3 linked regions of the Xenopus tropicalis genome follow. The protein of the gene in region 2 interacts with the protein of the main gene of each other region in a biochemical or structural test. Links are inferred from orthologs where the notes say so. Each region holds a gene or a part of one and is shown on either strand. Other genes may lie near its edges. The genes, in order: gc, acta1 and gsn.

Region 1 (4,249 bases), on a different chromosome or scaffold from region 2:
TATAAAATCCCTTTCTGCTCTATATAAAAATGAATGTTATGACATCTATCAAATTTGAATTATACATACTGTATTCTAAATGGCAAGTTCCTTCTGAATATAATGGTTTTCAGACGTAAGATAAAGATAGAGTCTTAAAACATTTTTGTTTTCCCTTGATACTTATGAAAAGAACTGTAAAAACTATGAATCTCTTTCAACCTTAATTCTAATTTAAAACTATTTCTGAGTTAAAAAGAATCATTTGAGAACAATATTGAAAATAAATAATAGAAAAGAAGGAGTTCATGCTTTGATAAAAACTTATATTGACTGCACAGAGCAGGTGTACAGTTTGGTGACAAAGTGGTTTTAAGGGTAACATCAGATTCCTAAGCTTTAGCAAGTATGAGCCTGGCGTGCTTGGCATAAACTGCATTTTCTTCTATTTAAGTGCCAGCTATGACTGTGATAAGTAGGTTCATAATAACTGATCCAAATACAAATTTTCTTTTGTGCACTCCATCTGTAGACAGTGACTTGGTAAGAAGATGCCAGAAAAGAGAAGAATTGTGACTGGCAAAAGATTCCACTGTCTTGTGCTCCTTCTTGTAGCTCCATTCACAGGCATGACATTGCCCTGTGTGAAGCTACATGGAGCAGATATTAGTGCAAAAATGCATACTTTTGCATTCCAGCATTCCATGTAGCTCCACGCAGGCTGATGCTATACCTGTGAATGGAGCTACAAGATGGAGCATATGAAGAAATCCGCCTGGGACAATCCGCCTAGGTAAAAAAAATTCAGGCAGATAAAAGCAGATAATCCCTTTCGTGTGCCTCTGCCTTGAATAGAAATAGGGTCACAGCAGAATCGTGTCTTTGTGCCTGATATCAACATTGCTTTCTTATCTTGTGCTCTCATTGGCACAGTATACAAATCATTGTAAAACAGCTAGGCACTGTAATGCAATATAAAAAAGACAATTACTGCTAGGGGTTTGGAATTTACAGGTATATTATACAAGGTAAAAATTACTGCAGAGAGCAGCATGCTGCCAAACAAATATAAATTATAGCAGTCATCCTTTGTCCCTTCAATATTCCACAAACTATGGTAAAATACAGTTTACAATAGATATAAATGTATAGCAAATGGTATAAGGTCTTCTCCTTCGTTGTATGAAATTAGACAAATTTGATTTGAAACAAGGGCCCCCACAGAAAAACTCATAATACAGTTTTAGAATCTTTTGGGACAGAGGTGTAATATTTCTGCATACTCAGCAGGCAACAGTTTTGCAGCAAAACTGAAGCATTTGAATGTGTCCTTAGTACAGATATGGGACCTGTTATCCAGGATGCTTGGAACCTGGAATTTTCCAGATAAGAGATCCTTCCATAACTTGAATCTTCGTACCTGAAGTCTAATAAAACATTATTTAAACAATAAATAAACCCATAGGATTGTTTTGCCTCCAATAAGGATTAATTGTTAGCTTAGCCGGGGTCAAGTACAAGGTACTGTTTTATTATTACAGAGAAAGTAGTTAGGCAGGTTATATATATAGTCATTATGGGTGAACGTGATGGACGTATGTCTTTTTTCAACCCAACTTACTATGTTACTATGTTACTATGTTACTATGTATGTAGAAAAGGGAAATACATTTTTAAAAAAATGATTTGATTAAAATGGAGTCTATGAGAGATGGCCTGTAATTCAGAGCTTCTGTATAACAGGTTTCCAGATATTGGATCCTATACCTGTATAAAGGTCCCAAAAAACATTGCAGATGAACATACAATGAGAAAATGGTGAAAAACTTGTGTCAATAAAACTAGCCAATAGCCCTGCATGGCTATTATTGGCCATATTTCCCTATCATCTGGGCATGTAGAGCACTCAGGGGGTTGGATAGTGGCAGTTTTCTTAGACTGTTTGTTAATCCTACTCAGATCTTTGCTGGTTTGTACAAACTGATATTTTATCTGTCAATTTAGGCATGCATGGCGCATTGGCAAATGTGTAAGTGAGAAGAGCTGCAACACTGTCAGATACACTTCTTTGCACCATATGCCTAAATTAACTAGCTAGCTAGCAGATTGATGGGTTGAGTAACTGTCACGTCAGCTTCTCTGAGGGTACTTCATGCTTTGTAATACATTCAATGCTTAATGCAAAACAGTGCACTTTGTCAGAAATGTACGCAATGTATGCATAATACACATTTTAATAAATTTGGCCCTACATTTACAATTTCCCAGTAGCTGGCTGCACATTTGCTGCTAACTGTTCAAGGGAAACAGTTACAGTGCAGTAAAGTGGCAAATAATTCCGTACACAAATGTATAAAGCAGCTCCAGTAGCACTGCACATTCTGTGTAACCTAGCAACTTTATAGCTTCTCCAAAAATGTTCAAATTGCTGTGCTTTTTTAAACAGCATTTTACATAGAACGTTTGATACCAGAAATTATTTACAGCCTGAATTAGTCTCATTGACTTCAATAAGTAAGGACAATGCAGATTTCAAATTTGCCCACCCAATTCAAATTTGCCCACCTTTATATTTTTGTCTCTCTCTATTCCTAGAAAGCAAGCATTTCGTTTTAAAGCAACAGTTGATATATAATGCCCTGACAACCCATTAGACAGTTATCACTATGTCAGAAACAAGCACAAAAGACAAACACTAACCTATAAGCTGCATTCACATATGGAATAACAGACTTTTCACAAAGCCTATGTCTAGCTGAACACTTTTTAGTAAAAAGCCAGAGCCTATATAAATACATTTATAAGTAAATATCTATATATTGCATATGTACATTACCTCTCTCATCTGCATAATTCATGGATATGGCTAGCAGTAGAACAATTAATCTCCTCATTTTTCAATGATTTGTGCTGCCAGACAATGTGCTTACAAATGCACCAACAGATAGTTCTACATATTTATATATTATTGTAATAAATCATTAATTTAAGCATTAGGCAAGGCAAGCTCAGCCCTGACCTTTGATTTAGAATAAACAAAAAAAGACAGCAAAATACAAATATGCAAAGGGAACCTTTCTGCAAATTCAGTCATTCAGTCAATCATTAATAAAAGGAAACTAACCCAGCATTGGTTAATGGGTTCATGGATAATTAATTTTACTTTTTGGGTTTTTTGTTTTTCATATACCATAATAATAATAACTAAAATAATAATAATAATAATACTACATACATTTAAAAATACCTTAAGCACCCTTCCAGCTACTATGAGAATTCTTAGCCAATAAACAGCCTTGCATTACAGCCTTCCATTACTCCTGTGACTTTTATAATTGGCTCAACTGCCCCTTCCCAGACTAGTACCTGTAGAACATGGGTCACACTGGACTCTCTTACCCAGAATGGGCCTTCGTTAAGTTAAAGAGGAGACTGCACCTCCCATGCTGCTATATAGAAAATAAGAACAAACAGGGTGGCAGAGGTTCTTGCAAACCAAAGAAGAAAGAAAGTTTATTCACAACACAGGGTTACTCACATATCCTTTTGGGGTAGTAATCAACGGAGCACAAATTTGTAATACGCTTTTGGAGATCTGCCTGTCAGGTTTCTAGATACATCAGCAGGGCCTCTCTCAATGGCCTGGATCCGCACACTAGATCAAGGAAAACACATAACCTAAATCCCTGTTCTGTATTATGGTCCCTACACTACAGGGCAGTCTTGCCTGAGGGGAGAGCTACATTCAGTTATCAATGCTTGCTGAAGCACAAGCTGTTGTTACTAGCTTCCCTTCCTATCTTACGTTTCTAGTACATACTCTGATAAAGCAAAACCTATCATTAACAACACCTTATTCCAGGAGTCCCTGTATCCTGAACTTCACCAATGGCCAACTACTCTTGGGACCTTTCCTTACTGGGTCCTACATCCCAGGCTCCCAGCAACATCCACCCTGTTACATGGGTGGAGGCCAAGGAGGAAGTGCCACCTTTGTCCCAAAGCTATATTAAGTGGCCACCCCACCTGCTATCCAATAGCATACACATGTAAATAAACTAAAATAGATACAATTCATTCTGCCAAGTAAGTAAGGGAACTAATCTTGTAGGGGTTTAAAGCCATAGGAGATTTTTAACCCTAAGGGTTCCTACACTCCTATGTAAGTTTACTATACACCATTATAGCTTGAGGAAACTTATTGTAGAATACAGACAAGTCAAATACAAATCAGCTATAATAAATACGCTCATTCATGACAAAAAAGTGT
Region 2 (4,017 bases):
GCACTACTGATAAATGTGTTTTACAATGAGGGCAATGAGTTGAACTGTGAGCTAACTTCTCAATTTCAGATAGAAAAATACACTTTAATGGTTCTGCCTAAAAGGGGATATCATTATACTCTGGAGTAAGTTTAAAAATGTCATATATATATATATATGTAAAAAATGCTGATGCACACCAGGAAAATTTTATCAAAAAAAAGATACTTAGTTTATTTAGATCTAAATAAACTAAGTATCTTTTTTTTGATAAAATTTTCCTGGTGTGCATCAGCATTTTTTACATATTTACATTGTTTATCTGATTTGCACCCAGGTTGTTATCCCTACCAAAAGCATATAACAGTGTTTACTTTTCAATTAAAGTACTTAATACTGAAGACTTACTTACTGCATAAAAATTTCATATATTTTTAAATGACAACAACTTCTGTTCTGTGCTTTTAGCTGAAAATGTCACAGTTTATGCATTCAGCTAATGTTATTAATGTGCTAAAATTAACTTTCCTTTAATTTAAAGTCTTTGTTGACACAAAGTATTTGCACAAATAAATGAAAATGGAAGACTCAAGTGGGGACTGGCATAATAAATTTATTATTGTTGGAAATTTTCATGATGCTTCTGTTAGATCAGTGCTTCAGTTATAAAACATCTTGAAATAAATTACAGTTTATGTACACTTTATATATTTCTTGAGTGACACTGACAATAAGGCAACAATGACAGAATGTGTTACAGATGAATTTACATTCGTGCCTTGGTATTTTAACAGCCCGTATTGAAGAACATTAATGCAGGTCTGGTCATTAGTGCAAAGATCAACATAACTATTTAGAAGCATTTACGGTGGACAATAGAGGGACCAGCTTCATCATATTCTTGTTTTGTAATCCACATCTGCTGGAAAGTTGAAAGGGAAGCCAGAATGGATCCACCAATCCAGACAGAATATTTACGCTCAGGAGGAGCAATGATCTGATTGAAAAAAAAAATACACAACTCATTAGCACAGAATTTAAGAATTTAAATACTGTACAAGACAAGTGGCTTGCTTTGCAGAATGTAACCAACTATATAGAGTTTGGATATGCACAAAGATGAGGGACGTATTTATGACCAATATGTGGGTGTAACCTATTTATGTAGATTTCTTCAGGTTAGAAGGAGAAAGTTAAAAAGCAAAATCAGTAAAAGATAATGGTTTTCGAAACATTTTATTTCTAACTGAAAAGAAATGATTTCTTCATATATAGGTGTGTGCATAAGATGGTTTGTGTCTTAAGTTTTCGGCTGTGTAAGTGTATGGCTTTATGGGTTATTTATACAGTAATAAAGATGACTAACTTACCTTGATTTTCATTGTGCTGGGAGCCAGGGCTGTAATCTCCTTCTGCATACGGTCAGCAATACCTGGGTACATGGTGGTACCTCCAGACATCACATTATTAGCATAGAGATCCTTTCTAATGTCAATATCGCACTTCATAATGCTGTTGTATGTTGTTTCATGAATACCAGCAGATTCCATACCTGAAAGATAGCAACATAAAGATATTAAAGATACCTTGAATCATTTATTTGGTATTGCGTTGTAAGATATACAGATATACTCACCAATAAATGATGGTTGGAAGAGAGTCTCTGGGCAACGGAAACGTTCATTTCCAATGGTTATAACTTGACCATCAGGCAGTTCATAGCTCTTTTCTAGAGAAGATGAGGAGGCAGCAGTGGCCATTTCATTCTCAAAGTCCAGAGCCACATAACAGAGTTTTTCCTTGATGTCACGAACAATTTCACGTTCAGCTGGAAATTAGAATTTTTTTTTTAATAAAGCAAACACTTACATATGAATTCATTACATAGTAACGTACAAAATAATTTAGGATGAGAACAGACACATGTCCACTGAGTGCTACTGTTTTAGGCTTTATGAAATAACTAGTTGATAGAGGAAAGCCAAAAAAAGAGCCTTTTTAATTTGCCTCAGAAGGGGGAAAATTCCTTCCTGACTCCAAGATGGCAATTGGACCAAGCCCTGGATCAACTTGTACTAAGTGATAATTTTGGTAACCCTGTATTTTCTCACTTGCTAAAGAGCCATCCAATCTCTTCTTAAAGTAAGCTCTTGATAAATGTAGTTCACACAAACACACATACACAACACACAACAATTAAATAAATTGATAGATTGTCTGGGTCTGATTTGTGAAAGAAGGAAATAGGGAATTTCAGGATTCTCAGCAGTTTTGAACTGAATATGGATTTTAAAAAATTTCTTTTCAGTCAGGACTATTTTTTGACAGCCAGGTATCAGAATGACTGCTTGGTATTTTAAATTCTGATTGAAGATAATGGACATAATCATCAAGCAGATTTGATCATGAATGTGCAGTAGTGGTAAGATAAGAATTATAGTATTGTTAAATAAGATGTAGACAATGCCAAAAGTTGCATGCCGCTGAATCCTTTACAGTTTATGGTAACATTAATAAGTTGCCAGTTTTTATATTTTTTTCTTGTAAATAAACTGCAGGAATTAATTGTTTAAATATTGCACCTGTGTGTTACACTTCTAGAATGTTTTAAAGATTCAGATGGTAAATATATACTAGGCCAAAAAGTGAAAACTGGGTTTGGCTTAAGTCATAGATATAAAAACACTGTGTTTATTATGAAAGCATATATTTTAGTATTACCAGTGGTGACAAAAGAGTAGCCACGTTCTGTCAGAATTTTCATTAAGTAGTCAGTAAGATCACGGCCAGCCAAATCAAGGCGCATGATGGCATGGGGTAAGGCATACCCTTCATAAATTGGTACATTGTGTGTCACACCATCCCCAGAGTCGAGCACAATCCCTAAAGAAATGAAGAAGGAGAGATAATAATCAATGTCTGCCCATTATGTTTTTTTGCAACATAAATATTAGTATGTGTGCTCTTAAAACTATGTAAAATACATATTATAGTATTGAAAAGATTGCATTTTTAATTTTTTTGTGAAAATTAGTAACTAAAATGATTCATAATTTCAGTTAAAATCTCTTTAGTAGGATTAGCTGACAAATTTATATATTGAGGCAAATGTCTTGTCAAACTTTTACAGTCTTACTTGGTTAAGAATATCTTATCTGCATTTAAAGAAAAGATCAGTTAATATCACTGTTTGCTTCTCACCAGTTGTACGGCCAGAGGCGTATAGAGAAAGCACTGCCTGGATTGCAACATACATAGCTGGGACGTTGAAAGTCTCAAACATTATTTGAGTCATCTTTTCACGGTTAGCTTTAGGGTTCAGTGGAGCCTCAGTAAGCAGGGTGGGATGCTCTTCAGGGGCTACACGCAGTTCATTGTAGAAGGTGTGATGCCAAATCTTCTCCATATCATCCCAGTTAGTGATAATACCATGTTCAATTGGATACTTTAGTGTAAGAATACCTCTCTTGCTCTGTGCTTCATCACCTACATAGGAGTCCTTTTGACCCATACCAACCATGACACCCTAATGAATAAAGAGAAGAATACAGTACATAAGATTTCAAAGAAACAATAATATCCAAATCCCAGAATCTGTAAGATGCCCTTATGTGTGTGCATGTACACACACATACACACATGCACTAAGATATACGTGTCGGGGAATACATTTTTGATAGAAAATTTTTGGATTGAATAACTATAATTAAACCGATGGAAAATAGAACTGGAAATAATTATAAAACATTTGAATTAAAATGGACTCTATGGGAGATGGCCTTCCCATAATTCAGAGCTTGATGGATAAAGGGTTTCCAGATCAGGGTTCCCATACTTTACAGAAAGACACAAACATCTACACAATACTCCAATAGAAAGCACTAATCTAAGGAAGTTACAGCAGCCTCTCTGGCATTGCCAGAATTTTCAGATTGTCAGTCTAGGCCTGGCTACTGGTATTACTATTTGTGCTGTCTTGATCCAGGTACTGGTCTGATTGCTATTTCAAAGTCGGGATTGAATTTTCTTCTCTGGCAA
Region 3 (4,213 bases), on a different chromosome or scaffold from region 2:
TTAATTCATTAAAACAGCTGTAACCCATTGCGACCAATCAGCAGTCAGCTCTAAGCAGTCAGGCACAGGAATGCCAGTGAATGCCTGATTCTAATTGGCTGCTACGGCTGCAGGGACGCCAACGCGGCAGAAGTGAAAGACCATTACGTAACAGTGTTTTGGGGTGGGGGAGGGGCTAACTACATTGTTGAGTCACATGCCTTTAAAGCTAATTAGCATTCTCTCACCATTAATACAATTACATTCATTAACTTTAAAGGGGATGTTCACCTTAACCTTTAGTATAATGTGGAGAGTGACATGCTGAAACAATTTGCACTTGGTCTTCCTTTATTATTATATCTGGTTGCTAGGGTCCAAATGACCTTAGCAACAAAGCAGTGATGTGAGGAAAGGACCCGAATAGCAAGAAAAGTAATCAAATATAACCAGGGTCAGACTGGGGGGGAACAGGGCCCACCGGGGCTCCCGCCGGCCGCGTCTCCTAACCCCTCCCCCGGCAGGGGCCCCGCTAACCCCCCACGACATCCTCCCCTTAGCGCGTAAGTTTAACGCGTCAGGGGAGGAGCGGTCGGGCAGGGGGAGCGCCTGCATGGGTCATGTCTGGACCGCCGGGGGGTCAGTGACCCCCATTTGAAATAGTTGGAAGCAAAAGGTATATCATTCAGAAACTATATCAAATAAAAAAATGAAGACCAATTGCAAAGTTGCTACGAACTGGCCACTCGATAACATACTAATTTGAAGGTGAACCTCCCCTTTAACCTTTCGGTTGACTGCTCTACAGTTTCTCAGAGTTCCCTACAGCTGACGCTCGCCATGGAATTCTGGGATTTGTAGTCCTCCCCCCTCCCAGCAGTTTGACACCCCTGCTTTTGTTTTTCCCCACCCACTTGCTTTTGTTTTGCTGCATGCTCAGGTAGGTTGGCTCCCCAGAGGCTAGTGGGCACGTGGATGGTGGCCGGCTAGCAGCAAGAGCGAGCCACAGATGCAAAGGTCCCCTGGCCACCTGGCATGAGTAGCTGCTAGCCATGGGCAACAGGAACGCTGCCGGAGTTTGCTGTGTACCACCGGTGTGTGTGCTTTTCTATTCTCCTTCTACCCTTACCGGGGCATTTGCATGGAAGCTTCACCCTGGGGTATCTGCACTTTTTGCTACTGGCCACTAGGTGGCTAATTAAAGGGATGACACGCTGATGTCTCTGACCAGGTGAGCTCATTAGTTACCTGCTAAATTGCTCACTCACCTGTGAGACATCTAGGGAGCCGGGGAGGCCTGTGTGTCGGGGCCGAGGGATACAAGAACCATTGCTGCAAGCTCACTATCTATAGCCCAGAGTCCAACTGGCCCTCTGCAAAGGTACAAATCCACTCACTGGAGCACTTGTAGGGCAATGAAAGTTTGTTTTTGCCACTTTTTGTTATTGTGAGTTTGTAGAAATCACAATATATATAATTTCTGGGAGTTATAGTTCAGCGATGCAGTTTATGTTTCAGATGTTACAGCTCATATGGATCAGAGAAAGTATATTATATAATATATATAATATTGAGTATATTAAAGGGGTTGTTCACTTTTGAGGTTAACTGTTAGTATGATGTAGAGATTAATATTCTGGGACAATTTGCAATTGGTCTTCATTTTATTATGATTTGTAGTTTTTAAGTTATTTCATTTTTTGTTTAGGAGCTTGCCAGTTTGGAGTTTCAGCAGCTATTTGGTTGCTAGGGTCCAAGTTACCTTAGCAACCAGGAAGTGGTTGGGATGAGAGACTGGTTAATAATAATAATAATAATATTATACATTTATTTATAAAGTGCCAACATATCCCGCAGCGCTGTACAATAAGTGGGTTACATACATTGGACATACAGAGTAACATATAAAGCAACCAATAACCGATACAGGAGGGGAAGAGAGCCCTGCCCAAAAGAGCTTACACTCTACAAGGAGTAACATATAAAGCAATCAGTAACCGATACAGGAGGGGAAGGGAGCCCTGCCCAAAAGAGCTTACACTCTACAAGGAGTAACATATAAAGCAATCAGTAACCGATACAGGAGGTGAAGGGAGCCCTGCCCAAAAGAGCTTACACTCTACAAGGAGTAACATATAAAGCAATCAGTAACCGATACAGGAGGTGAAGGGAGCCCTGCCCAAAAGAGCTTACACTCTACAAGGAGTAACATATAAAGCAATCAGTAACCGATACAGGAGGGGAAGGGAGCCCTGCCCAAAAGAGCTTACACTCTACAAGGAGAAACATATAAAGCAATCAGTAACCGATACAAGAGGGGAAGAGAGCCCTGCCCAAAAGAGCTTACACTCTACAAGGAGTAACATATAAAGCAATCAGTAACCGATACAAGAGGGGAAGAGAGCCCTGCCCAAAAGAGCTTACACTCTACAAGGAGTAACATATAAAGCAATCAGTAACCGATACAGGAGGGGAAGAGAGCCCTGCCCAAAAGAGCTTACACTCTACAAGGAGTAACATATACAGCAATCAATAACTGATACAGGAGGGGAAGGGAGCCCTGCCCAAAAGAGCTTACACTCTACAAGGAGTAACATATAAAGCAATCAGTAACTGATACAGGAGGGGAAGGGAGCCCTGCCCAAAAGAGCTTACACTCTACAAGGAGTAACATATAAAGCAATCAATAACCGATACAGGAGGGGAAGGGAGCCCTGCCCAAAAGAGCTTACACTCTACAAGGAGTAACATATAAAGCAATCAGTAACCGATACAGGAGGGGAAGGGAGCCCTGCCCAAAAGAGCTTACACTCTACAAGGAGTAACATATAAAGCAATCAATAACCGATACAGGAGGGGAAGGGAGCCCTGCCCAAAAGAGCTTACACTCTACATATATGAATAGGAGAGGGGGTTAATAGAAAAGAAAGTTACCAAAAGTAACCATAAAAGTGCAGCCTCGCAGAGCAATAGTATTTTGGCTGCCGGGGTCAGTGACCCCTGTTTAAAAACTGCAAAGAGTTGGGAAAGGAAGGGAAATAATGAATAATAAAAAATAATGAAGACCAGCTGAAAAGATGTTTAGAATTAGCCATTCTATAACATACTTAAAGGTTAACCTCCCCTTTAACTGTGCCAGCATATAGGTGTATTTATAGGTCTATGGGGACTGCCATATTGTTCCCCTTGGGCTCCCGTTGTCCTTACAAGGCAAGACAAGCAGTATGGCAGCTTCTAATATTAGATATAAATACACGTGGAAGTGACTGCTCCATATAAAGGCGGCCATACGCAGGTCGCCAAACAAGCGGATCTTCTGATATGCTCACCTAAGGCAGGCGTTACTGGGCAAATGAGCCGTTGGGCGGAGGACCGCATCGGCTTGTTGATCCGAAGGGAAAATCAAACCTACCTGATTGAGATCTGCCCAATTTTAGACCAGTTATTAGTTGAGTACGCCTATCGGGCCTAAGGATGCTAATCTGCAGCTGAAATCTGCCCGTGTAAGGCCGCGGTAGGTATCTGGCAGTGTATATGTTACTGTGTTGGATGGATTAGGGGCAAGCTGTTTTGCAGCAGGGAAACTTGCCTTGTTCTCTCATTGTATGGCTGTTGTCAGGGTTGGCCTTAGGCCAATTAGACCTATCGGGCGCTATAGGACCCTGCATCAGGGGGAAAAAACATAAAACTGTTTAGCCCGCCCCCAACCATGATTGGCCGATAATGTTGATATGTGTTCTTGGACATTAAACACAAAGTGGGCACATACTGCTACCCCAGGGTACCCACTGTCTGTCACTGTGTATAGTGTGCCGGGGGGGGGGGGCAATAATCCCTGTCTCATTATGCTTGGTGTGTCAGTACCCTAGGGGGCCACATTGTGCCATGAAATGTTGGGGGCCAATGGAGCAAGAGAGGTGAAAGGGGGGTACTCAGTCAGTCAGAGAGCGAGAGGCAGGGACTATTTGCCCCCCCAGCCCTGGACCCTGTGCCAGCCCTGTGCCATTGGATTGTCGTATAGGTAACCAAGTATTTTAATTGCCTGTGATAAGTCCTGTGTTGTTTTTCTCAGGCCGGGGGAACCACTTCTGCTCTTTGTGCCGGGTTTGTCGGCTGTGGTTTTAGAACTGTACCGCGGAACTGCCACATTTTACACCATGTTGTCAAAACTTCCCTACTGCGACTTGTAATCACTGACACCCTGCCTGCAGGGGAAGTGTGTATGTATCTGTGT

The links.
Region 1: the proteins of acta1 (region 2) and gc are reported together in a solved structure, tested with the Homo sapiens proteins (2 studies listed by BioGRID and IntAct). The link is inferred for Xenopus tropicalis from reciprocal best matches to the Homo sapiens genes ACTA1 and GC.
Region 3: the proteins of acta1 (region 2) and gsn are reported together in a solved structure, tested with the Homo sapiens proteins (3 studies listed by BioGRID and IntAct). The link is inferred for Xenopus tropicalis from reciprocal best matches to the Homo sapiens genes ACTA1 and GSN.

What each region holds. Positions count from the first base shown.
Region 1 is NC_030677.2:81,068,992-81,073,240, reverse strand, and holds the start of gc (group-specific component (vitamin D binding protein) precursor), read right to left. Parts: upstream 2,895-4,249; 5' UTR 2,874-2,894; coding exon 2,816-2,873; intron 1-2,815. UniProt on the Homo sapiens protein: Involved in vitamin D transport and storage, scavenging of extracellular G-actin, enhancement of the chemotactic activity of C5 alpha for neutrophils in inflammation and macrophage activation.
Region 2 is NC_030681.2:57,887,749-57,891,765, reverse strand, and holds the end of acta1 (actin, alpha skeletal muscle), read right to left. Parts: intron 3,506-4,017; coding exon 3,181-3,505; intron 2,863-3,180; coding exon 2,701-2,862; intron 1,808-2,700; coding exon 1,616-1,807; intron 1,532-1,615; coding exon 1,350-1,531; intron 977-1,349; coding exon 833-976; 3' UTR 573-832; downstream 1-572. UniProt on the Homo sapiens protein: Actins are highly conserved proteins that are involved in various types of cell motility and are ubiquitously expressed in all eukaryotic cells.
Region 3 is NC_030684.2:9,708,281-9,712,493, reverse strand, and holds the start of gsn (gelsolin), read left to right. Parts: upstream 1-1,270; 5' UTR 1,271-1,360; intron 1,361-4,213. UniProt on the Homo sapiens protein: Calcium-regulated, actin-modulating protein that binds to the plus (or barbed) ends of actin monomers or filaments, preventing monomer exchange (end-blocking or capping).